2 linked regions of the Drosophila melanogaster genome follow. The protein of the gene in region 2 interacts with the protein of the main gene of each other region in a pairwise test. Each region holds a gene or a part of one and is shown on either strand. Other genes may lie near its edges.

Region 1 (3,277 bases), 6.8 Mb from region 2:
CTTTACTATTAAGTGGCTATGAAAAATAGTCTATTGATGCGTTTGATAATTGCCTTATGTTTCACAAAAATATCTTACTATTACTATAACCATACCATATATATTATGTTTTGTTTCACTACCAAATATGTCTTCTTTTCATAAAGCGAATCGCCAATTATTCAGTGTAAAACATGCTTCGTAAATATGTTGAATAAAATTAATTTTGAAAGGAAGCATTTCATTTATTTCATTAACTAAAAAATAAGTTTTCCCAAAATTCATCAAATGTGTGCCAAATCTGACAAATACTTCTCCACTTTATGTGATTATTGTAAAGTCATTTATATTTTTTGCTGGCCGAATATCTTAAATATGATATTCCTTTGCTCTCAATATTCTTTACTTTTAATCCTTATCTCTGGCTCCTGTTGCTCTGGATTGAAGACCAGTTTGCGCATGTACCAACACTGCACATTGAGCGAAACTATCTTTTTTTTGGCATAAACACTTATTTTAAAGAAAAGCGTGCTTTCATGTTTTGAGTATACAATGATTATATTAGACACTACGTCTAACTAACTATTAGTATAAGTATTCGTTAAATCCTAAAAGATGTACAAAAATTTTTGGTTTACTTTTGGATAACCTTTTTACTCAACACTCATTCAGAACCGTTATAAGTTTATGGTTTAAACTGAAAATTTATATTTTAGGTGTTTTTTAATGTTTGAATATATTTTAAACATTTTTAATACTATATAATAGATAATTGTCTCCGTGTTATCATTACACTCCTCGCATGGAAATCTCTCTCTCTCTCGACGGCTTGTGCTCGGCTCCCATTCGGTTTTGTGGGGAAACACGAGACGAGGACGACAAGGAGCTTCGTGTCCTGATACAGCAACAGGATTAAATATATATGACGAGCCGAGCAGCGCAGTGTTATCATTTGAAGAAAAGAGTTGGTCGCCTGTGAACACGGTGAACTTAAGCATTAGAGGTTTAAGCTTATCAGGATATAGGAGTGCACCCAGCTTACACATCGATAGATAGCTCAGCTGAGCGCGAAAGTAACTGGAATAAGTAAGGGAATCACTGGTCTAGCGAAGCACCCAGCCACGGATGTGTCTGTACTTGGGAGTGGTGGAGCACCTGGTGGATGTGGTGGCCTACTGCATGTGCCGTGTCCTGGAGCTGTCCCTGTTCGCCTGCATGATGGTCTGCGGCTCCATGAGAGCCAAGCTGACCCACGGACCCACCAACGAGCTGGAGCAATGACCAGGACACCAGGAGTGCTGCTAAAAGGATGCGCGCGTTTGTGTGTTTGAGTGTGTTTCGACTAAAATTTAATAAAGGCAACTTTTCTAGTGGCGAATAAATTACAACTCATATGTGCTTGTAAACGATTGTCTTTTCCTCCCGTTGGCTGGCCCTTTGGAATTGAGCCATAACTCAAGATGGCCCACGGCAAGGATGTGGCCAAAGGGACTGGCTGTTTATCCTTCAGCTTCCATTGTTGGATTTTGTTTTTGTGCGGCGTACTCCGTTCATGGTACTTATTAGCCCTGAAGGGGATTATATGGGCAGTAATACAATGCCCATTTGCATGATGATAAAGTATCGACTGGGGGGGCCTTCCATGCCCACATGCTGGGCAATTGTGTGTTGGGGCTTTTGTTTTTGGCGCCTGCAAATATGCTCCTTTTTATTTGGGGAGTAGCCCCCATCCATTTCATAGGATAGTCCTGCTTCGGTATTTATGTAGTTGTTTACAGCCTCCGGCTTGGAACATAAATCCATTCAAATTGTACGTGCAAATGGGAGGACATCATGTTATATTACACACACCCGCAGCAGGCACTTCGAATTTGAGTTTTGAGCAAGTACAATTCATGTTTTGATACATTTTTGATAGCTGAGCAACAAAATCATACCAAATTCCCCTCTGAACATGGACAGCCCAGTAAAACAGCGCCTAAAACCCAAGAAGCTGGACAAACATCCAGGAACTCAGAAGGTCGAGTTCAAAAAGGATATCATCGATGAGGTAGCGGATCAGTCGGTTGAATACGATTACATGAAGTATCCCAGCAATAAAGAGAAGGCAAAACTCCTGAAAGGCGTTAAACCATCGAAAAGTGTCACATTCAAGACGGTGGTGGAGCTGGTGACCTATTCGGAAAACTGGAAGATGAAGATGAGCGAGAGCAGGCTGCGCTCGGAGGATGAGCAGGTGTGGTTACGGATGCTAAAGTCCACTTTCCGATACTCGGGCACCACGTATTTCTGATGCATTTGGACAAGCCTATTAAAAATTTTAGTTTTACTAGAACAATTTAAATAAAATACTACTACTACTTTTTGATACGTTTTCCAATGCATCAGACTTATTCTTATTTTCAGTTTCTTATATTACAATCTAATCATTCTTTTAATCTTAAACTTTAGCTGAAGAGCTCCCAAAAATATCGCAACTACTGACAACTTTCCTTAAAATTATTGTTCGTTGTAAGCTAATAAATTGTTATGTGTTGATAAAAAAATATTTCGAGAAAAACTAAAAATAGTTGGTTTTTATTTTGGAAAAATAATGGTCACAGACAATTTAATGAGAGTTTTTTTTCCCCAATATCATATATTTTATGGCAGGATCTTTATTTACCCAATGCTCGGCATCGCAGCTGGTTGATGATGTTGCAAATGACATACTCGCCGGTATCCTGGCCACCGAACTCCTTGGTGCGAATGCCTTCGTCCATGGTGCGCTTCAGCTCGCACCACAGTGCATCGGCGCACTTATCGTGGCCCAGATGCTGGAAGAGATCCACAATGGTGGACACGATGCCGTATGCACTTAGATTGGCATAATTGGTCAGCGATAGTTTCGTCTGGAGCGGTTTGAAAACGGCATGGTGATCTCCGATCTCCACCGCACTGAAGAGATTAGCCCCGCCACAGACTCCACTGCAGATGGCGGATAGGAATGTGGCATAGCGTTCGCTGGCGAAGAGGCAATCGAAGTAGGTGGGCTCCGTCATCAGCCGGCTGATGGCCTCCTCCACCTCCATGAGCTCCAGCTCCAGGCAATCCTTGTAGTGGCAGTGCAAGCGCTGTGCGGCTTCCACCAGTGAGCCATCGCTAATGGGCCACTCCTTGGCCTTGTTGATCAGCGTCACCCGTTTCCGGCCCGCCTTTGCAGCCGCCTTAAAGGCGTACCGCAGATACTTGTCATTGCCTTTTTGGGAGACGACGGACAGGGCCTCCACCACTCCCTCCACGGGTGAATATTCCAGTT
Region 2 (3,887 bases):
CCGCTGGAAGGGTGAGAATGTCTCCACCAGCGAGGTGGAGGCGCAGTTGAGTAATCTGGCTGGCTACAAGGATGTGATTGTGTACGGCGTAAGCATACCCAACACTGAGGGCAGAGCAGGAATGGCAGCCATCTACGATCCCACTCGGGAGGTCAACGTCAGCCAGCTGGGCGTGGAACTGGCCAAATCCCTGCCCAACTACGCCAGGCCGCAGTTTCTCAGATTCCTGCGCAAAATCGACCTGACGGGCACCTTCAAGTTGCGCAAGGTGGAGCTTCAGCAGCAGGGCTTCAATCCGGAGATCATCGACGATGAACTCTTCTACGCCCAACCGGATGGCGTGTATGCTCCACTCACCCCATCCGTATACGAGAGGATAGTTAGAAACGAGCTGCGATTCTAGGAGCGCCGGACTTTGTTCTTGGGAAGAAGAAAAGTCAAGACTGTGCCTTGTATGTTGGTGAAGAGGATATCCTTTGGATTCGGCTTGTGGTGCGCCAACTACTTTTAATTCTGGCTAAGTTTCTTATTGTCCGGACAATATAAACTTTAGCATTGGAAATTTACTGTTGAAAGAGCGTTTCCGCGGGTAAATTATTATTTTGTAACTATTTCCTTCTACAATTCCTACATACATAAGTGTCACATCGTATTGTATACATTGTATAGATAATAAAAATAAAATTCAGCCAATGATAAATCCATATTGTGCTCTATTATGTGATTATAGCATTTTCCTTCTGTAAGACAGGATTTTGATTGGTTTTCATTAGATTTGTAATTTAGTTTATTGTGCTTAGTTAAATAGTTTTTAAAAATGAAACTTACAATTGAAAGAGCATCATTAGCCACTTTACGTTGGAGTAGTTAGAAAATCTAATATCCCGGCTTCCTTAAACAGTTCCAATCAAATCGGGATGGCTTTAGCTACGATTACACTTTTCAATAGAACCTAGGTTACATCCATTGCTTGAGCAACTGATGCCTTCAGCTTAAGTGGAACCAGATTTTCAGGTGAACGGATTTGGAAACGGGGTCGTATAAAATACTTTCAGCAGTCTTTGGATCTATATCCGCTCAATCCTTGGGCGGCACATCCTTGCTCAACTCTGCACGCTTCCTCTGCTCCATGCGCTCCTCTACCTGGTCCAAGCGCTCGCTCATGGCATCCAGGGAGCTCAGCAGTCCCGCCTGGATCTCGCCATATCGCTTCATGGCCAGGACCAGACTCTCCTCGATAAGTTCGCTCTGCTGCGCGTACTCCCCGTTGTTCTGCGTTATGCCCTTTAGCTGCTCCAGACACTCGGCGGGAATGCTGCGGAAGTACTCCGCGCCCAGGGCCGGTTCCAGCTGCTTAATCCTCTCCAGCTGCTCGGCCTGCGTGTGCAGCTCGGGGGCCACGGCTTGCAGGTACACCTCCTTGGAGCGCACCTGCTGGTGCTCCTCCAGGAAGTTGGGGTCCAGGTACTTCTCCAGCTCGTCAGATCTCTTCACGCACTGCTGCAGTGCAGCACTTCCTGTGGTTGCTTCGCCCAGGATGGCGTGTGCCGAGCACAGGGCGTCGACCACGCCCTCGCCCACCTCAGAGTCCTGGACCGGACCCAGGACTCGTGTCAGGGCATCGATGCGCTTCTCCAGAATGTCCAGTGCCTCCATTTTTCGCTGAATTTCTCTTTATTTTGTTCGTTTTGATGGGAATGATGTCAGTCTGCAAAACAATCGATGTCCAACGAAAAGGTGGCAACGTTAGCTTGGTGGCAAGGTTCTTGTACTCGCTAAGCAGAACGAATTAACCCTTATGCGGACTAAAAAATATGGTATTTAAATAAAATATTTAGCTCCTCTGCATAAAGTTTTTGGTGCATACGTATCTATAAATATAGTACACACTTAAATTCCATTGCTATTTACTTAGTTTCTTTTAAACGTAAACTGTACAATACAAAAATCTCAGTTACAACAGCTTAAAATTCTCGAGGGACAACCGCTCCGCATCCTTGTTGATCTGCGCCAGACTATCCTCGGAGATGATGCGCACCGTATCGACGTCCGGGTCATCGCCTCCGGAATCATCCAGCACACACAGCAGACCATCGTTCTCGATGTACGGGAAGAAGAACTCGGGCTTGTCCCAGCTCTCCTTATCGCCGATTCCGTGGTGCGACTCTTGTGCCATGTGCTCCACGAGCAGCTCCTCCTCGTCGAACTGCAGATCGCAGGTCACGCAGCGCAGCAGGCACATTTGGCGGCGCAGGTAGTTGACCACCTTGACGCGTTGGTAGAAGTTCAGAGAGCTGGTGGCCTTCTCGAAATCCAAGCGATGAACCTCGTGCATGTGCTTCTTGAGGGCGGTGAAGTTGTCGCCGAGATGGTGGCAAAACAGGCACTTAATGGAGCTAGGCTCACCATCTGCCGCCCAATCCGACCAGTCCGAATCGTGTTCGCCATCCGAATCAGGGCGAGCGAAGTGCTTGTCGAAGTCCACGCTGCCGGTTTCAGGATCAGCAACTGTGGACACGGATGCCGTTTCCCGTCTTCGCTTTTGGAGGTGCTGTTTCCGGGGCGTGGGGGCCGTTGGTACACGATTGTAGTTGATAAGGAAGTACTTGTCGTACTCCCTTCGGTTCGGATTGATCCGCTTGTGGCCCTTCTTGCGCATGTGTTCCTTGAGCGTGGGCCGATCCCTGAAGATCTTCTCGCAGTAGAGGCACATTAACCGATTCAAGTTCTCCTCCAGGTGATCCAGCAGTTCGTCCACATACACCAGCTTCTCGGGCTTGCCGACCAACAGAAAGTGCTTGTCAAACAGATGGTCCAGATAGTCCGCCCTCAATCCCTTGATGATGGCCCTGCAGAAAAGGCACTCCTTGGAGAAGGTGCGGTCGGTTAGCTCGAACTGATGTCGCTCCAGGGCTTCACTTAGGCGCTTCTCCTTCAACCTTCGCCGCAGCTCGTAGTCCTGGGGCAGGATGTCACACAGCAGGTAGTACTTTTCGTTCTTGGCGTACTTGCCATCGGGCAGCTGATCCAGGAACATTGTGGTGCAATATTGCTCGAATTCGTGGGCTAAAATGGGTAACAATTATTAAATTTTCAGGGTAGGGTTGCTGATTCTCTCACTGTGAAACTCCTTTTCCCAGTACTGGAGGTAGTCCTCCAGAAGCGCTATATCCTCCACATCGGCGATGACCAGTCGGTGCTCCATATACAAATGCGCCAGGCAGTCATCTTTATCTGACGGAAATATGTACACCTTGTCGCATTTCAGGCACTTGATGGCCGTGTTCTTGGAGGGCTTGAGTTTCGAACTGCCAGTGATCTCCTCCAGCGAGGAATCCCCTCCTGAAACAGCCACCTCGTGCTCCATTTGTTTACGTTCTCCTGGTGCTCCACGAATAAGTGTGACCGCAGGTGCTTAGCGGCAAAATACTGTTTGCGAGATAAGCTTAATTATGACGTACACTGGAAACAATTGAAAATTTAATGAATTTAATTTAATGCACAAAAAAAATTAAATAAATACTTACAACTGTCTTATGAAGACTAAATAATCAAAAAATGATATTCAGTATTTTCGATGTAGACAACACGTACTGGAAATGTTAATATCCTTATAGGATATTATACGATTCAAATATTTGTAACTTATCTGTGAATTAAAATTCTGAAACTTACAAATACATTGTTCGTTAAGTTTTCAACAGACTATGATGAATCAGCAGCATCTTATCGGTTAAAAATGTTTTTTTCGGAACTCTGTGATTCAATGCTTATACTATGGCAATAGTTAAAAATTCTTAAGTTAGTAATATTTTAGATTGTTTTTTGGGGTTGACGAACTTGAGATGTTCGCCATGTAACCATAGGGCATTTCGGCTGCTGGGTAT

Evidence for each region.
Region 1: the proteins of DCTN3-p24 (region 2) and CG15705 interact in a two-hybrid assay, tested with the Drosophila melanogaster proteins (one large-scale study listed by BioGRID).

Annotation. Positions count from the first base shown.
Region 1 is NT_033778.4:16,279,089-16,282,365, forward strand, and holds CG15705 (uncharacterized protein), read left to right. Parts: upstream 1-1,861; 5' UTR 1,862-1,933; coding exon 1,934-2,215; intron 2,216-2,430; coding exon 2,431-2,463; 3' UTR 2,464-2,541; downstream 2,542-3,277. Other genes in the region: prim (primacord), read left to right, coding at 1,105-1,260; CG7755 (uncharacterized protein), read right to left, coding at 2,637-3,277.
Region 2 is NT_033778.4:23,060,855-23,064,741, forward strand, and holds DCTN3-p24 (dynactin 3, p24 subunit), read right to left. Parts: upstream 1,740-3,887; 5' UTR 1,657-1,739; coding exon 1,078-1,656; 3' UTR 566-1,077; downstream 1-565. Other genes in the region: Fatp2 (fatty acid transport protein 2), read left to right, coding at 1-403; CG9890 (uncharacterized protein), read right to left, coding at 1,955-3,066, 3,121-3,367.